Linked DNA regions of Drosophila melanogaster. The gene in region 2 interacts genetically with the main gene of each other region. Each region holds a gene or a part of one and is shown on either strand. Other genes may lie near its edges.

Region 1 (6,060 bases), about 11 Mb from region 2:
CAAATCGTCAAACCTTTGAATGCCACAAGCGAAAAAAGGGGCAGTTTTTGGGGGGCGAAAAATGTTTGCCAAATGTTTTTCCTGCCTGCTGCAATTTAAATGAGACGTTGGCCAAATGCGAGGGTGTCGCCTGCAGTCGCTGTGTGAAAGTGGGCGGGGCGGGGCGGGGCTGGTCAGTGGAATTAATTCTAATCCCGAACACGTTCCGTTGCGAACGAAGTGGTCAGTTGCGATATACTATATAAATATATATATAATTGTATATACATGCATATGTACATATATAGAACTCCTTAGTGGAGTTTCAATTGGTGGAGGGTGCGTCGATCATTAGCGTGATTTCTTTCCGCTTTGACAAGAAAATCAGAACGCTTCACTGAACTCCATCAGGACGAAAAAAAAAAGAAAAAAGGAATGTCTTAGTCGAATGGTGTGACTATTAGATACCCGTTAGCCAGCTTAAGAAAGTTGGTAAGAGTTGAATATATTTAAAGTCTTAACTGATTAAAGTTAGCAAGCAGAGTATCAGCAAGGTACTTAATTAAAAGAAGAACCAAAGAGTTAAATAAATGCAAGAAGGTAACAAGCAGCAGTGCGACTATCAGATACCTGTTACTCCACAAAACTTTCTTGAGAAGTCTTAGCGCTAGAACAGGAAATGCTCAAAAGCAGTTACATAATTACTGGCAATAATTTATGTTTATTTTTAAGCTTTAATAAACATCAATAGAAAAATTTAATAGAAAAAATAGAAAACTGAGCGCCAGTTCTATGTATCTATTTTGTTTATAAAAACAAGTAAAGTATACAAATTTAAGCATTGTTAAGGTATTAATTTTCTTAATGATTCAAATTATTTGTTACATATATTTTTATAAAGATTTACCAATCGAATTTTAGTCGTTTGAATTCGCTTAGATTCGTTGAAATTCGCTTCTAAATCAAAGCAAAGAAGCGAACCAATGTAAAATATATGTAAATGTAAAATTGTTGGTTCGGTACTTCGACGCGGGATCTGTTTAACGATTTTTTCAGTGATTTCGACACAAAAAGAGTAACTACTGCAGTTATTTTGCTAATAAAAAATTTAACTATATTATATGATAATTATAGATGATATGATATTAAATATAAATATAATTAAAATTTATAATAGTCCGATTTTTGACCAGAACTTATTATCGACATTATATAAGCCCATTATATACAAAAATGATTCCTAAAACAATCAAATAAAAGTAGAGTTGTGCCACTCGCCTTAGTATAACTTAGTTCTAAAGTATATGTTAATTTTATGTTAAATTCATTTTCGAATAATGGAAAAACGAGCGCCAATGTTGCGCTAGGGATTTCTAAACGATATGTAAACGATATCGTATATCGCACGACAATCGCCTGCGTGTAGAACTTAACAATCGATAGTTGTATTTAGCACAGAACCAAACCAAAAAATGCTAAAATATCAGTTTTGAACAGTATAGTGTGACCGCTATATGTGCCAAAAATCCCGTATTCAGTATTTGGTATTATTATTTGATATTATATTTTTATTGGCATTTTGAGTTGGGACAAAAACGCAAGGCAAGTTGTTGGTCTTTTTCGCTGTCTGCAGACGGATAAAAAGTAAAAGAACGCAAATCGAACGCGCCGCGAACGTATTGCAAAATCGCTTAACTCGCGGCGCCCTTGAAAACGACGAGGAAAAGCGAAAAAAGGCTGCGAGAGCTAGCGCAAAATCGAAGAAAAAACTGTGTATGTGCGTGCGTGTGAGTGTATGAGTGTGACGTGTGCGTCGCTGTGTGTGTGAGCGAGCTGGCATGCAGATGTAGAGATGTGTGTGCGCTGCTGCTGCGGCTGTGTGTGCGTGTAAATTGAATAAGAAAACGGAGCACAAATGGCACTGATGGAAAATTTATATGTGCGCTGAAAAATTAATTTATTTGCAAAAAGCCAAAGAGCTGCGAAAAGTAAAGTGACAAGCGGAGAGATGTGCAAAATCGAAAGAACGAAAAATTGTGGATTGCCGACTCTCTGCAGATTTGAAGAGAGTGGCAGCGAAAGAGAGACATAGAGAGAGAGTTTGTGTATGTGTGGGTGTGAGCCGCCTTTGCCAGGAAAACTAAAAAGAAAAAAATTCCCTGGCGTTAAAATTTGCACAAAAAATGTTGAATTCGATTGTTTGCTTTCCGCAGTTCGGCGTTTCGCTTTTTTTTTTTGCACAAAACTTTTTTCGCCAATTTTTCATGCACGCTTTTTCGTTTATTTAATTCCTCTCTCTCTCTCTCCATCTCTCTCTCACTCATTTTTTCGCTCTCCGAATCGACTCTCTCGCAGTGCTCTCCGCTTTTTGCTTGTGCACAGCCAAGTGTCAAAACTGTCATTTACCTTCCTTTTGTCCGATTAGCAAAACGCAACGAAAAACTAATATCCCATCCAAATTAAATTCGTGGCCGTTCGCTTGTTTTAAGTTTATTGTTTTACGCCAAGAAACAAGTAATTTTAAATTGTTTGACATACGCGTAAGTGTGGTAAAAATGTAAAAGAGAGGCCTTTGCCTCTTAGTGCAACAAATCGATCAGAAAGTAACCAATAAAAAAGCAAAGCAAATCGAAACATGTTTCAAAACGAAGGAAAAATCAGAGAAATTCAATGAAACAAAAGTGCAAAACAGTCGCGTAATTGTTGGTGTGTGTGTGTGTGTGTGTGTCAGCGTGTGTGCCCATCCTTTTGGTCTGCTTCTTCACTTTCGCTCAGTTGTTGTTGCAGCTTGCACTTTGTACCTTAGATTTTTCCCATTTCCTCTTTCCATTCCCATTTCTCCAAAACAGCTGGCCAAGCATTTGATTAACTCCAATATTCCTTCGTTTTCTACTGTATTTTATGTGCCATTTACCTTTGTTTATAATGTCAGCTGGCCCGGCATTGTTGTTTATTTTCTGTTCTGCTTCGCCTTGATTGTTTAGTCAAGTGTTAGTTTTGTTTTTGTGCCATTTTGCAATTTTCTGCTTATTTGCCATCCGATATTATGGGGTAATTTTTTTTTCATATGTGATTTTTAGTAGAAATTCATATAAAAAATTGTGTGTTCTGTTTGGTTAACGGTAACTCGAATTACACACAAGTGTTTAGAATTATGGATACGTATTTAATAACAGCGGTGTGCAATAATAGTAGATTTGCAAAAACCAACCAGCATTTCTGAGAATATTAATTTCTAGTTTATGAACTAAAATATGAAATTCACTCTGTATGAGTACCCTTTTTATACAAACTTGAAATGAATAAATCTGATTAGCTTTGAATGCCCTTGAACCAATCTACAATATCTTCACGATCATAATGATCATCCCTTTTAACGCATCTCCGATTTCAAAGCAAAACAAAATAAACCTCAGGCCAGATCGGTTTTCTTGTCAAGCCGCGTGGCAAATTTTTCTGCTTACCATGCACCATTTTGTAACTATAACTGGACGATATATTTGCGTTTAGGAATCGGATACACTTCAGATTTCTGCCAACTCTTTGATACAACCGATGGCACAAACTCAGAAAGGTTTGGATTGTTTTGCGAGTTACTTTCATAGGTATCGGTATCAAGAAGTTGCAAGAAATAAGCTGGGGTTTCTTGAACAGGGATCTATCTGCATAAAAGAAATGCGTGTGCAGACAGTCACGTCGACCAAACCAGAATTCAATCAGTTCATTTTTTTTTGTAATGTAGGAATTTCGGGGTTGATTGCTAGCGGAAAAGTACCAATCTTTCAACAACTGGTTAACTTTTTGAATGAAACCATCATAAAAAAATAACTAATTATTTTATCTAGGGTATTGTCACTTTCGGTACATTTAACACCTATTTGCACCAATTTTCTTTGATGTCTTGTTGCTTTATTTACATTCTGCGACTCAATTCAATTGAGAAATTATATTCGATTTCAATTGTATCTGAGTATCTCATGGATGCATTGTCATTGTAATCTCTAGCTTGTTGTTGTTCCTTTTGCAGCCGCCTCCTCCTCATCTTCGTCGCTGCTCTTTTCTCGTTTGATAAACATTTTCATTGCCTTCTCTCTGCATACATCGCTCTCTCTCGCTCTTTCGGGTTCTTTTACTTCCTCCTACAACGCCTTCGTTTTTCTTTTCCTTTTCCCTTGCCATTTTTTTTGCATTGTGAATCATTTCCTTGCGGAAAGGAAAAGAGCGAAGAAAAGGTGGGAAGTGCCTGTGGGTGAAAGACAGGAAAGGAAAGTCACTGATTGAAAAGTTATTAACTCGGTTGAATTTTCATTATGCATTATTTAACACCCTGGTGTCCTTAAAGTTCAGTTTTATATCTGTCAGCAAGGTATAAATTTTTAGAGGATTTTTTAGAGGATAACCCATTTATTTTTTGTTTCTATTTTTTGCTCCTAAAGGCCTTTTTTGTTATATCCCATTTTCGTTTTTGTTTTTACCGATAGTCTTAAAGTTTAGTAGGGCTTGATAAGGTTTTGATGGTTTAGCTGAGAAAGCAGCAGTGCATTTTATTACCGTATTTTGTATTGGCAATATATCCTGGCTTACCTTTGATGCACTGCGAACAATCGGGACACCTTTCCTTTTGCTTTTCATCTTCTTCGGCTGCTGCTATCATCATCAATATTGATTACCGGCAGCTGTCCGAGAGCGGGAGAGTGCGAGCGAGCAGCCGCTCTCCTTTTGCGGTTTGTTTGGTATGCGGCCCCCACCCCGTCCCGCCCACTTGTAGGCGCCCACGTTGGTAGGAAGGAGCATGTGGATGTAGATGCGGTTGCGGAGGGGCCAACAGGCTGCTCTCGCTCTCTTGCAGCTCCCGCTCTCCGATTGCAATTTTCTCAACGCGCATTCGCTCGCTCACACTCACTCTCTCTCGCTCGCGCTTGCCTCTTTCTGTACTATCTGTTGTAGTTGCTTTTCATTACATTTGTTGTTGTTGGCTTGCCATCGATTTTATGCTTTGTCGTTGCAATTAGTTCTTCTTCTGTTGCTTGCTTCTTGTCTGCACTTTTAGTTCTCATTTTCTTTTCACCCCATCTCCTTGTTGTTGCTTTTGCTATTGAGGAAGGCAGTGAGCAGAGGCAGAAGTCCTCCTCCTCCTCCTTTCCATTCGCCGATTTGTTTGTGTGCGAAATCTGGTGCCTACAGCGATACTTTGATTATTGACTGCCGGGGGGTTAAAAGGGGTCCCAAGTTTATTGTCCAGAAGATGAGTTACAAGAATGGATACTCCACTTCCAGTGGTTCTTGATGAATTGGGTATTCTGGTTCGGTTTGGGTGTGCGCTTTTTCAATGGATTAAATTCTCTAATTGAGCCAATTTCGTCTAGATTAATTATCCATTCTAAAGAGCTATTGGTTTTCATTCATAACAACTGATGCCCAATTACCACAACTTTACTCCCTCAAATTATATTCGAAATCAACTTAAGTTGAAGAAGAAGCTTTGGGCCAACACCTGCGTGGCTCAAGAACAAGGCCAATAGACTCTTAAACCCCCAACAAACAGCAGGCCAAAAAACTAAAAAAAAAAAACAAAAACAAAAATACCCACCTTGAGAGAGTGCTACGACCAATGTTGACCTATAACTGATTTTTTGTTATTCAGTTGTTCTTCTGGTTTGCTGGTTTTGTTGGTTGTCTCTTTTTTTCGACTCTCCTAGCCACAGAATAATCAGATTTTTTTGCGTCGTTTATAACTCGATTAGGCAAAAGAAATAAAACAAAATTAAGCGAGAGAGAAAGAATAAAAGAGCAGCGTCAAGGTCTTGACTTTGCCTTCTGGCAGGGCAAACGCAGAGTTCAAACGCCACTACAGTAATCACTCAAAAGTCTATATATGAATTATTATATAAGTTTAGTATTCAGGTCAACAAAATGTCCCTCTAAACAAAACCGTTGTATGAAAGATATTGTTTTGTATATTTAGATATTGCTTTAATGACTCAATATTGAATATTCAATTTGATCTTCTTATTTTTGCTTAAGACCAAAAAAAAATTAATTCAAATTTTCTAAAATTTAAAAAACGATGGTTAATTATGA
Region 2 (7,891 bases):
ATGCTCGAAATTATTAATTGAGAAAATGTGTAGAACAGTCGGCACATATGTATGTACATACATATGTACTTGCGCATCCGAGGTATTCGGGAGCAAATTTCACAACTCGAGAAAAGAAAAGATAATGACTCAACTCAATCCGAGCTGCCTACTTTCAATATTTTGTGTTGACGCCAGCGAGAAATTTAGCCCACAAATAGCATCCAATTGACAACAGTAAAACATGGCCAAATATGTACCAAGCCGGCCAATGACGTAAGCGCCCCACGGTAGCTGCATAAATGGCAAAAACTAGCGAACACAAGAGGCAAAAGCGTTGCATCGAATGCGGATTACCCTCGACACTGATATGACTGATGTGTTTGCAATGACTGATGTTTCCAAATGATGATACAATGAATATGAGTGATTACTTCTTTGGAACTGTAATTATCAATTTAAGCAGCTTTCAAGACTTTTAATGAGGTTTATAGCCATAATTGTAAATAACCACAGAAAACCATTTGCAATTATTGTTGAGTCTGACAAAACGAAGCAACCCACTGTAGGGTATCCAAAGCCGTTGCAAAATGAACATGGGTCTTGATTTATTAGCAACAGACAAGGACGGACATAGAGTCGCGAAATTACAACGTAAGACGATGGCGCACTCGCACCCACATACACGTGATAAAAAAAACCGTATTCATTCACAGAACAGTGAAATTGGGTGTCATTTTGGGATCGATTCAGATTTCAGATATCTGCTGGTGTGGATGAATCAATTAAATGGCAAAAGAGCGAGCCAACTTGGTTGACCAAACTTGGACAAAAGGAGTGGCCAGCTAACGGATATGAAAGAATGGGCCGAAAGCGAATTTAGTCATCTAGTTGTGCATGAATCAATCACAGATTGTGCCATTCATTCACTTCGAGCCTCACTCACACATGTCACTCACAACTTCGAGCTCCGTTTTTTGCCCATTGAGTGGGAGATCGATGCAAAATTGCCACTGCACTGCTCACTCCTCTGCGATTCGTACTACTGGCCTATTAGTTTCTTTTCGCTCCTACTCTCCCCCTCTCGCTCGCTCCCAATTGCACGTGTTGGGACCGCTGCAGCAAAACAACAACAAAGGAATCGACGCCGACAGCGGATTTTGTTGGATTTTATTTTTGGGTCTTGGGGCTTCTCCGCTTTTTATATTCTTCTTTATGTCTTTCCGATTTTGGAGGTAGCTCGCCATGTGAAAGGAAATAATTACTTTATTTGTTGATTCTGTGTGTGTGTGTGTGTATGCGTACAGTAGGGCTCGGAATAATAGAGTAGTTACAAATATTGCTGTTATCTAAAAATACAGTTGGTCAGAATATTTTGTATTTTTCAGTTGCGAATAAACACAGTACATTATCATTTGATCCTATGAAAACTACATTTCGTTAAGATCCTACTATATATTTTTGTACGAAACAGTCCTACTTTTTTGGCCGCCTCTGTTTCGCCTATTATGAATGTGCGAGCAAGATTGTTGTTATGGCCCCGTGTTGCCTTTCGGTTGATTTGGCTGCCTCTTTTCCTCTGTTGCCAGCTGGGCTGCATTTCAAACCATTTGGAAATTCGAAATTGTTTGCAAGCTTTTATTGGCCAATGCTGCTGCTTTTTCTTCTTCTTATTATTATTGGCCCCCGCCCCCGCGCTTTTCTAAACAATAATTAACAGTAAATGAAAGCGGGCAGGAAACGCGAGAGGCCTGTGGAGGCTTGTAGGTCAAGAAGCATTAGATGGGCAAAGGTATAGGCCATTAGCCATTATTTCCTAGTCGCTGTTATTATTCTGGCCACTGTTGCAATGGCTCCATCTAACGGTGCCTTCTTGCCTGCCGCATAATGACGCCTAATTGGCCAGGCAGAGATCAGGAATCTCAGAAATCAGAGATCGCCAATTGAGAAAGTGAGATCAGTGACAAATTACGCGGGCAATTTAAGCGCAGCTTTAAGCGGGCACATCCGCTTTGCACATACGCGCAGTGCAGAACATTAGACAAATTTGCACATTTAATCAAAGACAATTGTTTAATTGGTCAATTGCGGCAAGTAACTGGAGTACCAGCCGGGAAATGGGAACGGGGCAAGTGCGAAAAACAAGATAGTGCAGGATGAGACTCCTACACGCAGCACATGTGACATTAGAAACAGTTCTAACAAATATCTTAATTGCTATCAAATTTTATGCCGCCAGAAAACCTCGATTCCACTCAGTTTCAGTTGGGTTAGAGGCAACACAACTGGGGGAAGTTCGAGACCGCTCTTTATCGGGCCTCTCTATTTACGTTTCCAGAGTGGGACGGCAATAGCCGTGGCAAGACAATCATCAAGTGCGACTCTTGCTGGTGTTTTCGCTGTGGCCCCTGCACTTCCTACTAGGAAATTCCCCAGAACTCGGAATTATATGCAGCAGCAGCGCTGGCAAGTGTCATTTGAGACCAAGCACAAAGAGACACACAGCAGCTGCTCCCCAGTGGACTTGTGTGTGTGCCGGAGAGTGGATTTTATTTGAAATTCAAACTCTTTTTATGGTGCCCACTGATTACAGGGTATGCGAGGGTAGTATGCACTTGTGTAAGGAAGTGAGCAATGCTGTTCTAAGGATTGAGACTAACCAAATCTCGCTTTGGAATATTTCCTTTTCAGAAATGCCCTACAAACAGTTTATTAAGAGGTATCAACTGGTCGAACCGCTATGAACTTCACTTCCTCCCCGGATTACCAGTAAAAATCGTTAAAATCGCAGTCGCAACAGCTGTAGGAAAACTATAAACCACATTGGGAAATGCGTTTGGGATGGGGTGAATATGGATGGCTACGCCTTTTGCGGCTCTCTAAGCCCTGGGATGAACTTTTGTGCTCGATTTCCAGTTGCCAAAAAGCGCCGGAAATTGCTGGCAACTGTCGGTGGTCGCCAGATCGTCGGCATATATGCAATGTCTGCAGCAAAGCCCCCTTTTTCATATGGAAAATGAACCTGATTCTCGAGCACAGCGGCGAAAATTACATAATCGCCGGGCAAATGGGAGCACAGTCATATCGAAATTGTGCCAAATTGCAACTGCAGATGATAATAACGATAATTTATTTCTCCCCCAGTGAGATGTTTCTATTATACGAGCAATTTTCTGGAATCAGCGGGTGCCTAATTTCGCCCGATTTTCTCTGTTTCAGCAGCCAGGGAAAACATTTCAATTCTTCTATTTTTTCTGGTTTTTTCGGCCCACCAACAGAGGTTTTCTCTAGTTTATCGGCTTTCCCGAGGGTTTTTCCTCTTTCCGCTACCTGCGAATACCTGCCCCGAAAAAAAGAGGCGTGGGAATCGCCGAACATACAGGAGGTGCAGAGTTGGGAAATCGGAAAAAATTGCAATTGCAGGACGTGTGAAAATGTGCGGAAGACAGGAAACGTGGGCCAAGACCACTCGCAGATTTCCCGGAACGGCCTTGGCCAATGGGAAAGGGATTTTTCCCTGATTTTGAACTCACCTTTTTCGGCAAAGAGGGAAGTTATATATGTTTCGTATCCGTAAAACGAAGCTCCCAAGACACCAGAAGAACTCTGCACACACGCACTTGCTTTTGAACCGTCTTTTTTTTTCAACTCTAGGACGAATTATCGCACGGTTGATTTACGTTTTTTGCTGGTTTGGCTTAACAATTTCCTTTTGGAACATTTATTTGCACACAATTATTTATTAAATGCCGCACACACACACACAGGTGATTGGTGATCGATGATGGGCCGTGTGTGGTTGTGTTGTTTACGTACGTGTGTGTGTGCGTAGAGCACGCCTCGCACACACTGACAAAAATTCATTCACGACACGGTGATCACGATCGTCGCTCTCGCTCGCTCACTCATGGTGTTTTTGTGTGGAAAATCCAAGAGAAAAATAATACTATGTGAAGCGCAGACGAAAGACGCACAAAGCTGAGTTATTAACGTGTGTTATTGTTGTTGTTGTTTCTCGTTGCTACTGGATGTTTTCTGCTGCTGTCGCCTTGTATTTACTTAATTTCATATGCATATTTCGCCCATGGTTTTCTTTTTTCCGCTGCTTTTCCTTCTACCTGTGCTTTAGTTAAACGAACACACAAAAACAACACACACGCACGCACACCACACTCCGCGCACACACACACGCACGCACGAAACGAGAGACGCAAAGGTAAAGTGGTAAAGTGTGTGCAAGAAAAGCGACAAGAAACGGAACGGAACCAACGGAACCCGTATATATGCACGCGCTCTTCGATTCAATGGCGATTTCGGTTTCCACTGCACTCGCTGTGTTTGTGCTAGTACATTTCCCAGTTTCCTTTAGATTTTCGGTACAAGTGTTGCTATTGCTGGCGAATTTTTCTCCTGGCCACCGCGTAGCACTCGCGACGTTACGATTTTTCGACGTTTGATGCGCGGGTGGAGAGCAGACAAGCGTCGGGTTGGAATTGTCGGGACAGAGTGTGACCGCGGCGCCATCCCCGGAATATACCATCCGGCTGCGGGAAATACCCTAGATACCAAACTAATCGCTCATATATACCAAACGGCAGCGAACGGCCACGCTAAAGAATCGATATGTACATCGATAGTATCGCACTGCAAACTGACATCACTATTAGCACGCTTTTAAAGTTTGTGCAAAATAGGTAAATAGAAAATTGGGAAAATAGGCAAGCGCCGGGAAAATGGGAGTCCGCGGCCTGACCAGTTACATAGCGCAGCGCGCGGAGATCTACCTTAAGCCGCACGAGCTGCACTCCACGGCGCTGGTCATCGATGGCGACAACTTGAGCTGCAATCTGTACAAGGATGTCACCGGGAGCTACTCCGCCTTCGGCGGCGACTACGACGACTTCTACCGCGCCGTGGTGCAGTTCTTCCAGGTTCTGGCCGAGTGCAACATTCGGCCCTATGTGCTCATGGACGGCGGGTACGAGGAGCGCAAGCTGAGGACCGTTAGCACCCGGCTGCGCAACAAGATTTCCGTGATCAAGAAGATAAACCCCAATGCATCCATCACGCTGTTCCCGCTGCACCTCAAGGAGGTTTTCGTGGACGCTGTGCGCGACTGCGGAGTCCCGGTGATGAGGTGCGTCTTTGAGGCGGACGACGAGTTGGCTGCTCTGGCCAGGAAACTTAACTGCCCAGTGCTCTCCTACGACTCGGATTTCTACATCCACAACGTCAAGTACATCCCGCTGATCACGCTGACTGTTAAGGTAAGGCATAAGTTATTTGGATTCCAGCATATACTAAGCGATTCCATGTACCCCAGGTTCTCACCAAGCAGGTGAAGGACAAGAACAGCAGCAACCAGAAGGACAGTCGAGATCTACGTCACTGCGAGGCCAAGAATGTGAAGAAGCGCACCAGGGCCAACAAGATTGTGACTGGCATTCAAACCACAGGGCTGACAGCCAGTACAAAAGGCAGTTCCAAGACCTACAAGTACCTCGACTGCTGCATCTACCGGGTGTCCCATCTCTGCGGACGAGGAACTCTGAGTCCCGAGAAGCTACCCCTTTTTGCCGCCCTCCTGGGCAATGACTATATTGCCCGCAGTGCCTTCAAGAACTTTTTTGCTGCGGGAATGGGCAAAGCAGGACGAAGTCGCAAACTAAAGCTCCAGCAGAAGCGCATACAGGTCATCCTCACATGGCTGAAGGAGGAAACGGCGGAATCTGCTCTGGCTAAAGTGCTGTCGAGACTGAAAAAGGTTCGTTGCTTGAGATATCTTTTTCCGATTTATGCTAAAAATAATATTCTTGCAGAACCAGCGTGATTCCCTGGTCTCCCAAGTGAATGCAGCCATCTCTGGTTACTCCAACGAGTTGTGCCACGCCTACGATTACTTCGATGAGCACTACGAGAATGCTTTTCCTTATATAGAACCCGTCAGTGAAGAGGAATGCAGCGACGATGAACATTCGTCTAGCTCCGATGAAAAATTTTCAGATGTCGAAGAAGGCGAGGATCAGGAGGAAGCTGATAACCAAGATGAGGAGCAGCAGGAAGAAAATCAAGACGTTGATTCGGGTGATGAAGAAGAAGAGGAGGCGGATGAAGGCCTCGAGCTGGAAGTGGAAGACAAAACGCTACTCTTCCCACAATGGTTTCTGGACAAACTATATCCCGCGCACCTGCCCCGCAGCTTCGTGGACCTTATGCACCTGCGCAAGTACATCAACAACCCACAGATCGAGCACTTTCCCTTCCACGACTCCAATGAAGTGGCCTTACCCATCCTGAACTACGTGTTCGCTCTTCTCCATCACGTAGAGTGTGAGAAAATTGAGCTACCATTAGAAGTGGATATGGATATAGAGGGTTCGACAGTCCCCTATCTCACCTACCTCACCAGAGCTCTGCGAGTGACGAACGTGAGGTATTTCAAGATGCCCATTGAAAAGAAGCCTGCCTATCCGTTTGATCCTCTTTCGCCGGATGCTAGGCATTTAAGAGCTGTATTCGAAGACAATGCTCCCAATGCGGATACGGAGAAGTTGTTCAGCAAGCTCGACCAGTTGCCGGAGGACCTGAGGCTGTACTTTCTGGCCATTATCTACTGGTTACATCGCTCGGAGCACTGTGATTTGCTGCATCTTCACTCGCTGATCCTTAGTTTGGTTGTCCTACGAACCATAGATGTTACAATCCCTGCTGAACGAGAGGTGAAAACCTTCCTTAAAAGATTTGGCAAGACATTGAAAGCAGAGCGAGCAGTGAGGGATAAGGAAGCTGCCGAGGGAATTAAGCGCGGCATCAAACCTGCTCTGCTAGAGCTTTCTGTTCCAGATCGGATGGCTCATGTACCCAAATCGGACTGCTATTTAACTCAGGAACGCCTACTGCCGCACTTCCATATGCAGGAGATCTTCAAAAAGAAGTTTGACTTGTACTCCACCACGGTTATCCACGCATTTGCTGAATTTCAGGCTGTGGTTTACCAACTCAATGGGCTAAATTCTCTTTTGGATTTTCCACTTTTGAGTCCGAGGATGAACCAGCTTTATTGCGGCGCCTTTCTCTACAACATGTATGATGTACTGAGGAATCGTGCCGATGTCCGCTACCATGTTGAGAACTTCCTGCTGCCCGACTCCAAGTTGATGTTCGATTTCTATTGCTACTTGTACGACTGGTGCGCGGAGTTTATACCAACTTGGAAGCGATTGGAGGTGGATCCGACGGCGGCAAAGGCCCTGCAGAAGAAGCGATTGAAGAAGCAGCGTCAGGCGGCTAGGAAAGTGGAGCTAAGGGAGGCCATCGCGGATCCCAATGCGGAAATGGTCGAGGATGCCGATCCAGAAAACGACTTCTTCGATCTGAACAACAAATTCTGCGCACTCAAGGTAGCGTAGCTAGTTTGAAGTCCCGCACGTGCAATTTTGAAGTTTTTACATTGTTACAAATCTATACTTTGCGTAAAATAAGAAAAAAATTAAATATTTTTTAAAAAACTTCATTTTTGAATGCATTTCATTAACAGTTTGGAAAAATACTGTTATTTCCTATGTTATGGTCATGTTAAGTGCAAGGTTCGGTATTTTGGCAAAGTAAAATACCTTATCAGTTGCGGTCATACTAACAGCTACGTCACTGCGTTGTAATCAACAAAAAAGAAAAATAAATCAAACTAAACCAGCCGCAGACTGATCAAATGCTGGTTATCGCATAGTTTGTAATCAGCGCCCGTCACTGCCAACAACAAATGAAACCCCTGTGACCTCGGGCCAGAAGCAGGAGCATTGCCGTTGCTGCCAGCGAAAACACAGGCCAAAACAAAGGCCCACCCGAAAAACAGAACGTCATTCGAAGGCAATTATCGTATAGACGAGCAGCGGAGGCCCTGGTGTCCACCCCC

Evidence for each region.
Region 1: of S (region 2) and bun, changing one enhances a phenotype caused by changing the other (phenotypic enhancement), as found in Drosophila melanogaster (one study listed by BioGRID).

What each region holds. Positions count from the first base shown.
Region 1 is NT_033779.5:12,542,102-12,548,161, reverse strand, and holds the start of bun (bunched), read left to right. Parts: upstream 1-1,550; 5' UTR 1,551-1,752; exon of another isoform or gene 1,753-2,519; intron 2,520-3,818; exon of another isoform or gene 3,819-4,222; intron 4,223-4,563; exon of another isoform or gene 4,564-4,986; intron 4,987-6,060. UniProt on the Drosophila melanogaster protein: Probable transcription factor required for peripheral nervous system morphogenesis, eye development and oogenesis.
Region 2 is NT_033779.5:1,073,323-1,081,213, forward strand, and holds the start of S (star), read right to left. Parts: upstream 4,494-7,891; 5' UTR 3,513-4,493; intron 1-3,512. Other genes in the region: ast (asteroid), read left to right, coding at 4,713-5,246, 5,303-5,743, 5,799-7,388.